Mus musculus: one gene and its partner. The protein of the gene in region 1 interacts with the protein of each later gene in a pairwise test. Links are inferred from orthologs where the notes say so. Each region holds a gene or a part of one and is shown on either strand. Other genes may lie near its edges.

The links.
Region 2: the proteins of Nutm1 (region 1) and Sh2d4a interact in binary tests that used the Homo sapiens proteins (3 or more experiments, as listed by UniProt). The two-hybrid records come from large-scale screens. The link is inferred for Mus musculus from reciprocal best matches to the Homo sapiens genes NUTM1 and SH2D4A.

Annotation. Positions count from the first base shown.
Region 1 is NC_000068.7:112,247,700-112,253,811, forward strand, and holds the end of Nutm1 (NUT family member 1), read right to left. Parts: intron 5,932-6,112; coding exon 5,803-5,931; intron 4,177-5,802; coding exon 4,037-4,176; intron 3,624-4,036; coding exon 3,346-3,623; intron 2,977-3,345; coding exon 2,860-2,976; intron 2,481-2,859; coding exon 489-2,480; 3' UTR 249-488; downstream 1-248. UniProt on the Homo sapiens protein: Plays a role in the regulation of proliferation. Regulates TERT expression by modulating SP1 binding to TERT promoter binding sites.
Region 2 is NC_000074.6:68,331,129-68,337,240, reverse strand, and holds part of Sh2d4a (SH2 domain-containing protein 4A), read right to left. Parts: coding exon 6,005-6,112; intron 2,177-6,004; coding exon 2,046-2,176; intron 1-2,045. UniProt on the Homo sapiens protein: Inhibits estrogen-induced cell proliferation by competing with PLCG for binding to ESR1, blocking the effect of estrogen on PLCG and repressing estrogen-induced proliferation. May play a role in T-cell development and function.

The DNA.
Region 1 (6,112 bases):
AAAGGAGGCAGACAATAATAGGCTCTCCAGACAAGATTCAGTCTTGGGAAAGAGGGAGTGAACCTTTAGGGACTCCTGTTTTGGAACCCATCTATCTGGACATGAAAGTGATTCTTAGTAAAACACTACAGGGGAACCAAGATAAGGTTAGCAGTGTGGTCACTGGGTCCACAGAACCTGCCTTTGTTAGAATTGCTTTGCTCTATGTCACAGCCAGGATGCTCACACAGAAGAGCACATAGCATTTTCCAACCAAAAACAATCTTTATTTCTCCACATAACTTCCGAAAGCCAACTTTTCCCTTTGGTTCCCACTAACAGGACCTCTGCAACCTAGCCAGTCTGACCTGCCCCAGGATCTCCAGCTTCTGGCACAACAAAACAAAAACAGCATTGGGCTGAGACTGCTTCTCCACGGGGTAGGGGGAGCAGCAGCACTAAAATAGACTTTGGGTGCTGCTAGGTGGAGCAGGGTGGCCCTCTGCTTCCTACTGGCTACGACGTCGTTTCTTCCTTTTGCTGGTGACAAAACCGTCACGCCGCCTTTTCCGAGGCTGTGGGAGCTGGGCCATTCCCAGAGCAAGGGGCTTCTGCCCAGAACCATTAAACTGAGCTCCTTGCTGGTCTCTCTCTACAACAGTAGCTGGACTCCCAACTAGGGCTTGCTTCCCAGACTTGGGAGGGGGTGAAGGCTGGCCAAGGTCATCTACTTCAGTAGAGTGGCGGGATGTTTTCACAATTCCCTGACCTCCAGAGGCCTGACGAGTACTAAGGGGAAGCCCTCCTGAAGAGAGGCTGAGTTTTGAAGCCAAAAGGTAGGAGAAGTTGGAGAGCTCTTCGTCTTCTTCCTCCTTCTCTGTCTCTCTTCTTTTGGCTCTATCTGCTGAGGTGCATTTTTCTTTAATAGGGGTTTCTCTCAAAATATAAGCATCCCTGGTTGCCCACCTTGGGGAAGTACTTCCCTGGCCCTGGCCATTTGTCAATTTGGTTGTCTCATGTGTATAGGATTCTTGATTGTCTTGTAAAGGAACAAGGTCGGTGGGTTTGGAGGAAACAGTATCTTCCCTGCCCTCTCCTTGGAGGTTATAAGAATTAAAATTTGATAAGCAGGAATCCTTGCTGACCCCTGGTTGGGGGCAACTGTCATCTTTAACATCTAGTATGGTGACCTGATCTATGTTTTCCAACAGAGGAAAAAGTAGATTACCTCTGCTCTCTGCCTTTTGGCTAGTCTGGGCAAGAGAGGAGGCATCCTGGGTCCCAATGATAAGAAGATTGCCTTGGCATGTGGGTATCAGGGTGTCTTTGGAAGACCCCAGTGTGGAAGAGACAAGTGTTGGCAGCAGTGGGGGGCAAGCTTCAGCCCACAGATCACTAGGATTCTGTATGGTTTTAGGGCTCAGCGCTTGATTTTCTTTGGAAATTTTTTCTTTGGACCTCAAACCTGGACCACTGGCCATCAAAGATCCTGGCAAGCTGCAGGGGTTTCTCTTTTCTGGGACAGCTGTTGTATCTGGGCCTCCAGAGGGAATCACACTGTTCCCCACATCCTTGGGCACTGTGTTTTTTCTAGGACCTAGAGAAGCACTGTTTCTAGAATTCAATGCCTGGTCCTCTCTTCTGCATGCCTCATCTTGGATGCTGTCTATGACAGTCTCAATTTGTAAGGGAAGCTCTAAACCTACAGCACCCATGTCACTGCTCAGCCACAGTCCTGGGCTGAGAGAAACCCTGTCTAGGTTGCCAGCTGCTCCAGGGGAATGGTTTTGACTGTAACTCTGAAGCATACCAGGACCTCTGTCATCTCCCCGCACGGCCCTTGAAGAGCCCTTCTGGGAAACCACTGAAGGTGGTTCTCTTCCTCGAGTAAGCATCCCAGCTCCCCCGATCCGCTTTCCTATCTGCAATGTCAAAGCCTGTTTTTCTAACCCAAGTCCTTGCAGAGGAACTGGCTCTGTAAGTCCAACATCAAAATTGGGGGCTCTCATGTGTTGGGGATCTTCTTGCCAACAACAAGGTAAAACCTCTGGATTCCTATCTGCTACTGGGTAGTACCCAGGGGACCCAGTCCTTCCCAGGTGGCCATCCTGAGTTGCAGATAGCTGTTTTATAGCCTTCCCAGACATTTTTCTCTCCATACCCAAGAGTACTGGCATCCCCTGTGAAGCTGTGAGCTCTAGCTGTACATCCCAGCTGCTAGGGGATGGCAGATTATTTCCATCCTTGTGAATCCCCGCTGGACCACCTAGTGTTTGTTCCTGCCCACCATGTATTTCTCTTGCCTGCTTGCCTGGAGAAGCAGATTTTCCAATGCGAACAATGCCCGCAGCCCCCTGAAGCCCAGGTGAGGGCCGACGCCTTTGACCCCCGTCTTCATCTTCATCAGAAACAGAAGGACTTGAGTCTGACTGAGCTCCGCTGCAACTTGGAGGTGTCTGTGCATCTTCCTCCTCCAAGGCCAAGAGTCGTTTCTGGACCAGCTGGAAGGGAATGGACAAATGCCAGTTCTATACATGGTTAGGAGAAGAGGTGGCTGAGTGGGTGATAGGAGATGGTAGATAGTGTGGGGAAGAAAAGCAAGTGTTTTAAGTGATGGTGTCAAAGATAGATACTGTAGCTCTCTCTGCGTTAGAGCTGTGAGCCTTTCCTCGTTCCCTCCCTACTTGCTTTAGACTGTAGGCATAATGCTTTTGTGCACTGTGTGAAGGTTATCCTTGTGTTATTCAACTGCTGATTTCTATGCCCTTATATGACCCAAAGCCCAAACCTAAATTCTCTCACAAACAGTATCAAGATATCAAAGGGTTATACAAAATCAGCCAGGATCCTTTGCCTGTGTTCTTTGCCTCCCAAGTTTACCTGGGCAAGATTCAGTCCTTCTTCTTGCTCTAGTTCCTCAAGTAAAGACAAAGGATCTCTCTGCTCTTCTGGAGACAGCAGATCTGCCAGAAACTGAGGGTGTATGACTGCCTCCACCTGGGGAACAGAAAGGAGAGTGGTGTAAATCTTGATATGGAGTGATCTGTAAGCCCAGGTGCTCTAGAGACAAATCTATGAGGCCCATAGCCCATAGAGACAAACTTTAATGCTGGAGTTTGTTACAAAAATTTGTGGTAGTCCTTACCATCAGCTACCTACCTGTATACCTATTTCCAAATTATAGAATGGAGCCTACTGACTTTCACAGAACCCCAGATGGCTGGTGCCCCACAGTATCCAACTCATAGATATCTATTCAAAATTATAGGATGGAGGCTCCTACCACATGCAGAACCCCAGAGAGCTGATGCCTGATAGTGCCTCGCCCCCAAATACCAGAAATTAGCCATTGTAGACCTAGCTCACCTTGGAGACAAAGACTTCCTGAGAACAGAGTTCATCAATGTAGCTCAGAAGACTTGGATCTGGATACATCCCTGCACCTTCCTGCTGCCCCTCCTCCTCCTCTTCTGTCTTCCCAGTGTCCACGTAGCTTCCCATCAGCCCATCCATGATGTCAACATATTCTTGCACAGCTTCAGGTGGGATCTCTTTGGGTGCCTCGGGAACAGGAGGCCTTTGAGGTTTGCGTTGCCGCCGCCGAGGAGCCCGAGTCTTAGAGGCTGCCTTCTTAGGGATGTACACTGAGGGAAGAGGTGGAGAGTGGGGAAGGAGCCTTGGTATCTACTTCCCAGTGATACTTGGAAGGGAAGAAATTCGGGTTCCAGAATGGGATTGAGGTGTTAGGGGAGAAAACATAAAAAGCTGGAGGGGGTGTGAGAGAAAACACGGTTAGAAATCTTTCCACACACCTTGACATCCCAACAAACCATCTGATCCAACGCCATGTCCGATAAAGGATAGGACTCATGCACAATCCAGATGAGAGAGTAGTTTACTTGGCCAAGATCAATAGCTCATTCAAGACAAAAGGAGCTAACACCCCAGCTTCCTAGGGGGCATTGCATTTGGCTTATAACAATGTCACTCCCAGGAAAGACAGACAGAAGCAAAAGCAGAGTTTCCTAATCCTCGTCTGCACTGCGGGTGGCCTTACCTGGCTGCTGGCAAGCCTCAGGGACCATGGACCCTGGAGGATCAAGTTTCAAAGGGGCTATAGGGGACAGACCCGGGGAGCCATTCATCAACTGTGCATTCTGTATCTGTGTTTCTTCCTCGGCCTCAAACTCCATGAACCTGCAAGGGTAAAGAAAGACTGGGCAGAGCTGGAGAGATGGCTCAGTGATTCAAATCCCTGCACGCACATGGCAGCTCACAATTGTCTGTAACTGTAAGATCTGACACTCTCACACAGACATACATGCAGGCAAAACACCAAGGTACATAAAATGGAAAAACAATTCACATTTTTTTAAAAAAAAGTACAGTCTGTAATAAGGAGAACCCAGTCCATCAGTAACACAGACGCCAGGCAGCATCCACACATGGCCAAGAAACCAAGCACCCTCCATTTGGCTCAATACTGTTGAAGTTGGGTCAGTCAGGGTAAGCTGCTCACAGGTAGGTAGTAGCCTAGTGACAGTTCTGAGAAATGCCATTATATTGTCCCTTCACCTTCAGTGGTTATTCAAGAAGCTAAATAAGGAAACTGGTGGTATACAGTTTGGATAACTCTCCAGGACAAAGTGATACCCTTTACTTCTGCTGCCTATCAATCTCACCCAGTGTCCTGATTAATTGCTACTTTATATAAGCTTGGTGAATCCATATAAGCATGGCCCATGTAACAGTCTAGAGGGACACTCCAAAGGGTTGTTCCTGATGGCCTCATCTGCCCCTTTCTACAACTGAAAATGATGGCGGAAGCAGAGCCCACCAGAGTGCAAAGGCTGGAACAGGTCCTCAAGGGTAACAGAGGGGAAAAAAAAAAGATATACTTGGAGGAAATGATTTCTTCCCCAGTTGCTGTGCTAAGGATTCTCACTATGTTGCCCAGGCTGGCTTTGAACTCCTGGCCTCAAATAGTACTCCCATGTCAGCCCTGGGGCCATGTGTGCTGACTCACAACACGGCCAACCAAAGTTACTTTTTAAGACATGGCTATCCTGTCGAAATGGGGAATAAAGAATCAGGAGACCACTCTGGGTATACCGGATACCCAGAGTCCCCTGTTTCTTCTCGCCAACCTTTTCCAGACTTGGTCCCTCCCTGGATTGGGGGAGAACCTGTTTCCTGTACTATTTTTAAAAACATAAACAAAGCAAACCATGAAAGGAAAAGTGCTTGTAAAGTTCCAGATCAATAGCCACGTGCCATCTGGCGAGCTCAAGAGCCTTCATGGTGAGGTTCTCTCAGCATGGGATTTTTAGAGGCCCTGGGTTCAATCCTATGCTAACCCCTTCAAGATAAAAGCCACATACAGCTCAAGACCTGGAGGCAAGGAAGCTTTCAAGAACAGACAGGATAGAGTAAGCCCAGAGCTCAGGTGGTAGAAACAGGAAGGGTCCAGGAGACCCTCATCTGGCCTACAGCCCTCCCCCTGTGGCACTACTTTATTCTATTTTAAAATGTATTCCATTTATTTATTTATTTATTTATTTGTATCATGTGTGTATGTGTGTGTGTACAATGTGTATGTATAGACCTCAGAGGACAGCCTCTGGGAACCCCTTCTCTCCTTCCTCCATGTGAGTCCTAAGATCAAACTCAGGTTGTCAGGCTTGTGGTACCTAAGCTACCTTGCTGAAGCTCTGTTACACCCCTCCCGCACCAGACACTTACAGACATCTCCCCATCTCCGCTACCCCTGTATTCGACCACTCCCCCACCCCTGCAGGGTGAATGAGGGTTCATCAAACTCACTTCTCTGCCATCTCATAAAAGATCATCCGGTCAAAGTTGCTGGTCCGCTCCCATTCCTGCAGAGCCCTCGGCAGTCCCTCCTCCAAGGTCATAGTAGGCTTCAGTCGGGCCAGGGAACGAAGCACTGGGCTAAAACCCCCATTAGGTCAGACACATTGTAAAAGTGTGCCCTGCACCTGTTCTGATGCCCACCTCAGTCCATATCCCCCTGTCTCTCACCAAATCTAGTATGTCCCTCAAGCCCTGTCATGCTCCATCTTAATAAGACCTTCAGACTGAGCAGCCTCCCTTCCCTCCCGTTGTTCACCAT
Region 2 (6,112 bases), on another chromosome or scaffold:
GAACCGCCCTGTCTCCATTGCAGGAATGTGAAATTCTGTCTTCCTAAAATGGAAGCCAAGGATTTATGTCGGCCTCCTGACATGCATATTTATTATCACATTATTTATTTATTGTATTATTTATTTGCTTATAACTATGATAAATATTTGTATAAGAATGAATCAACAATGATATCATATTTATAAAATATTATGTGTAACACAGCACATTTGTGTTTTCTAGGCAAAGCTCCCACTGGATTTTTAGCTGTGCCATGTCCTCTGGCTTTACACAACTCTTTCAGACAGAACTGCCAGTTGACATATCAGAATTCTTAATGACATCAGCTAACACTTCCAATTTTCATACCCTGCTGTTTAAAAAAAAAAACCAAAAGACAGAAATGAAAATGTGACTGCTCTCATAATCAGGGACAACAGCACACAGCAACTGCTCAAGGACACAGGAACTACAAAGGCTGATTTCCTGTGCTTATCTTAAAAGGAAATGGGGGTGGGGTGGGGTCAGCAGACAGCAGAGGTGGCTATGCTGAAGGCATACAGAATCAGCAGAGTTCTGTTAGTCTCTGACAACATCACCACACCACAGAGGGACCTTACTCACAAGAGCATGGGGCATCTCTAGGAGTCAATGAAACCAAAGTCAAAGCACAGGTTCAAGGACACCTGGCAGTTCTGCTGAGACACGGGCTACTAAAGCAGCTATCAGGGAAAAGATATCATAGACGGGCCAGGGTTTTTGAAGTGGTTGCTCTTGCTGGGTGTTTGGAAACTTATTTTTTGTGGTCTATTTATATATGAAATAATACTACTAAACAGTAAGATGCCTTACACACAGTTCAAACCAAGACACTCTATGTGTGAAGTGGGAGAGATTGCCTTGAATAAACACTTAGGTAATAAGTCCAGTCCAAGCACACATAATGCCTTCTTTTATTTTCTGGGTCGGGGTTAGAACTGATCACTTTGTACATTATGGGTGACTAACTGAGTCAGAGCTGTACTCCAGGTCCCTGTCCACTGGTCTTAAATATCTGATTGCTCTTGAACTGAAGCAGTCAGGGGATATGACCTAGGGCAACAGAGTAGCCTTAATTAAACAAATATCTTAAGTCAAATGCTGAAACCATCAGCTCATACTGTCCAACGACTCAAAGAACTTGTAGACTTGCAGACTTGTTAGAGCAACAGAAAAACAGGATCAAAGCCACAGGACCAACCAGGGATCATGCAGGAGCTGGACCTAAACCTCTCATACCTGTAGCAAACCACCTTGGTATTCAGGTGGTTAGCCTAACAAGTGGAATGGGGCAGGAGGAGCTATGCAGCCTCTGTTCCCTGCCATTGGATCTCCTTCTCCCTACTTGGATTGCCTGGATGGGCCTCGTGGGAGAAGATGTGCCTAGGCTTGTTGGGACTAGATGCCCCAGGGTGAGGTGGTACCCAAGGGAGGATCCACTTCAATGGGTGGGGGGGATTTAGAAGGGTGAGGCTGGGAAAAAGGAGGGAGGAGGCTAAGATGGGGATGTAAAGTGAATTTTAAAATAGCTTCAGTTTCCCCTTTAAGAGATAAGAAAATTGGGGCTCTAGTAGTTTGAGTAGCGATTGAAAGAGATCATTGCTTCTTCAAGGTCACTGAACTGGATATGAAAGAGCTGGTGCTTAGCTGGCCTTCTGCCTGCTAACCCTGCCTCAGTCTGTCAAACCACTGACGTTCTAGTGGAGGAAGACAATAGCATGTGCTGAAGTCACACTCTGTCCGCCGAGTCCCTAGGAAGCCTTTCCCGCCCTCCCTGGAGTATTGTATTTGTGGTGAAGGATGATTAGCCCATTTCATTGCAGTGGCCATGAATGCTGACAGCTTTCTAAGTAAGCACCAGCAGACAGCTCTCTGAAAAGCCTTTAAGAAAAGGCTCAGTGGCAATACACTGAAAGACTGTTAGCGCAGCACAAATGAAGAAGGGAAGAGAAAGCTCTTACTGTTCGTTTGTCGTTCTTGAAGTGAGCACTGTTTGGTCTGCCATAGAAGTGGTCTCAGTACTCACCATGGAACCAAGGAGCAATGGTGTCTGAGTTTTTCTGGTAACCTGCACGGAATGGCAACTGTTCCTCTTTGAACCATCGAATGGTGTCCATCTGGGCGGAGCTGATCTCGGTCCTTATCACCCCCTGATTCCTGTCATGGGTAAGATGATTCCCAAGTTAGGGATGACTAATTTGAAATAATGTTCTCCATTCTGCCACACTCATAGATCAGTGTCTTGCTCAGCCACCATCAGAGAATCTTCCACCTACAGCAGATAGGAACTAATTCAGAGACCCATAGGCAGACATTCTGTAGAGTGAGAGACCTGGGAACACTCAGCCACACATGGAATGTCTTTATCAAACCCTTTCCTCAGGGCTCAGGAAGTGATACGGGAGAAGAGGCAGAAAGAGTGTAAGAGCCAGAAGGGATGGGTGACATCAAGGAAACAGTGTCTTCCAGATACGACAGGACTGGCACACACATGAAATCAAGAGACTCTGACTGAAAGCACAAGCCTGCACAGGTCCAAGTCAGATGGCATCCAGTGCTGAGAGAGGGAGTGGACTTGAATTCCCATCTCTAACCCCAAAGCTATCACCAACTGACAACCACTTACAAAGGAAAAACATCAATCTTCTCACTGGGTGTCCAAACCACACTTAAAGGATGCCCAGTGCCCAATACACAGCATACTCAAAGGTGTTCTCACAGATTGGTTTTTGTATCGTGATACTTTGTTTGTTTGTTTGTTTGTTTGTTTGTTTGTTTGTTTTTTAAAATCTCACTGGTCTTTTGATTCTATATTGTGATTTGAATTTTATATTTTAAAGGTTTTATTTGTCTGTGTGTATCTTATACTTCTTCACTGTTTATTTTTAAGTTATTTTTTTATTCTGTTTTGTTTGCCTGCTTGTTTTCCGAAGAGAGAAAGAAAGAAAATATAGAGTTGTATTGGTGAAGGTGTCGGGAGGACCTGGGAGGAGATGAGGGAGAAGTGTGATCAGAAAATATTATAGGAATTATCAATAAAAATTAAGCTTATGGTAATTTATGATAATCTGATTATAAATGTGTTACTTTATAATCTCTCCTATAATTATAAATCTGTCCTAAAGGAGAATTAAAGTTGCAACTGTAATTTAAGGAAAAAAAAAGAAATAATGAAGGTGTGTATAGCCTCACTCACATGCATACGTATATAAATGTATATGTGTGTATGCATACATATATATGCACACACAAACTGGTCTGCATCAATTCAACCAATAGAGGACTGGAAGTATTCAAAGAAACAAATTGCAACTATACTAAACATAGACAGACATTTTTGCTTGTCATTATTTCCCAAACAATATTATGTAATTATTTACTTATTTATATAGAACTTAGAGTGTATTAGTCATTATAAATGATTTAGAGATTAAGGTGCAGAGTGATTATGGATGCATTACAGGAAAATACTACAGCATTTTATAAACGGGGCTTGAGCATCCTTCACATTTGATCTCTTCAAAGGATCTTGGGAATTGCCTCCACAGATGCTGAGGGACAACTTTATACAGAGAGGGAGAAGGGAGAGGGAAGAAGGAAGACAGGGTGTGGAGGGAAAAGGGAGAAGAGAAAGGAGGAAGAGGTGGGGGAAGAGAATTATATGCATTCCACTTGCAACATCTAATCACAAGGCAGAGGTAATAGTAGGTTAGGTGCCCCACGTGCCACCATTGCATGGCTCCCAAGATCAGAGAAAGGAAAGCCCATTCACCTAGGGCCAGGCATAGCAATAGCCACTGCTAGGTTAGAACCAAATTCATTTTACCCTGGGTTAGAAGATCCACCTTCAATTAACATTTGGGAAAAGAAGCATTCAGAACCTGAAGCTGTTTCCCTGGAGTGCTTGGCTGTGCAGACAAAGGCAAGCGCAGGCAGTGAGCAAGCTGCCTCCCTGACTCCTTCAGTGCGTGCCTTTCCTCAAAGTCTCCATTTCTGCTCACCTCCCTCACTTGCTTCTTTCTCACACTTTGAAGAGGTTTCTTTCTACTAAAAGATGCCCTAGAAACAAGAAGGTAAAGGGAATATGTCTGCAGACTAGGGAGGGAAAATTAGCAATAACACCATTTTGAATCCAACTCAGCATCAGAAGGGCACCCTGGCACAGATGGGTTCTACTGCAGAAGGCAGCGCAGAGATGTAATAAATACACTCCCAAGTCCTGTTCAACAAGCCACTAGCTGAGCAGAATCTAAATCTAAATCTAAAATAAAGAGATTGGATGAGCTACTGGAATTTTCCATGATACACATTAATGTGGCCCTTTGTGCTTCCGATGGCAACATACTGTATGTGCCATGATTTCCATGTGAAATAACAGCTCTGCAGACATGTGCATGTGGGCACTTACACACACACATGCACATACAGAGATGCACACACACATATATACACACACATATGCAAATATGACTATGTATTATCATTTACGCCATTCAGAGGATTTGAGAGAAAATATCTTACAATATTTGTCTTTCCCCGAAGCTGACCTTGCATACACATTAGATCACATGACAAATTCTAATGCTAGTTCCCACATTAGCCTCCTTTTCTCCACATAATCCTCAGAGATAGAGCAAACCCCACATACATGGGACAGGCTAGTGTCTGCTAGTGTCTGCCTTTCTCCTGGCTTACCTGTCATAACTGCCCAGAGTCCCTGTCTACTCTGACACACAGGGAGCTCTTTTACATTGCTGTAAGCTGGAAAAGAACAAGCTGAGTACAGCTGACAAAAACTGTTTCCCACCCTAAAAGGCCACTTTCACTGTCATCCATCAAATATAGTGTGCCCTAAAATCATTACAGGAAAGACATCAGGTGAGACATATCCCATGCTAGGGGCTAGCAAACAAGAAAAGGCTGACTGTGGAGCTCTGTAGCCAGAGTTCCACTAGGCAAGGCCACATACAGGAGCCCATTTGTGACCGGTCACAAAGCTCAGGAGGTGTGTATTTCCTGACTTTATTTTTAGCTGTAAGGTGGAAAAATAAAACTTCATTTTCCAAACCATGTAGAGGGTCACCACGTCTCAATCGGGGACTTTCAGTGGAGAACGTAGAAATGATTACAGTGGGGGAATAATTCACTCTTGTGTTTCCTCTGAGGTCATAATCCTCAGAAAAAAATTACTTAAGCAATTAAAACACAGAAATTTTGTTTGTTTGTTTGTTTGTTTGTTTGTTTCATTTTCCCAAACTCTGAACAGAATTCTTTTTAGTTTTTAGGGGCAGAAGATGTAGCTCAGTGGCAGACTGCTTAGCTAACATGTGAAAGGCCCTGGGTTTGATCCTGCTACAAGCAGACAAATAAATATTAGAATATTAATAACATTCTATATAAGTCAGTAGTTATAAAAAAGAATTTGTTAGTCAGTAAACATGAAAGATGCTGTTTTCTTCTAGATCACTAAATTTTTCGTTTTTATCTTCGAGCACGTGTTGCCCCTAGAAGGTAAATGTAATTTCATCTCCAAATAGAGACTTTGTTCCAAAATGGATCCTTTCAAAATTCTGAAACTGTGATCTTCTCTCTGTGTCTTAGGAGAGAGCTGCCATCAAACCTTGACTCCAGCAATAAAAAGTAGCCCAAGATCCTAATGTTACTTTTAGTCTCTAGAGGCAATGCTGATCATTAAACACCCTTCGGCCTGCATGTTCCCCCTCCTCGTTTCTGTCAGCCTGTTGCCACTGGATGGAGGTAGGGACAGCAAGTCACCTTGACATCGTCACCCTGTGGTTGGGTTCAAACTTTAGCCACTGTAGATAACTTACAGGAAAGAAAGGAATCAAGGAAGCCGGGTTAGAGGCAAGCCTGTGTTGACTTAAGCAGTGAGCCAACATCCACCGCATCTCATGCCCCAAGGAACACAGTTTTAATCAGTCCATCTTGGCCCTTATGATGAAACCCCTCTGTATGGCTTCTTACCCTAAAGACTTTGGAGGGATTCCCAGCGGCTGTAGGAACTGGGGCTTCGGAGGAAGAGGAGGTCTTCTGGGCTTCTGTGGACCTGTCAGTGGGTTCTGCAGTCCGTCC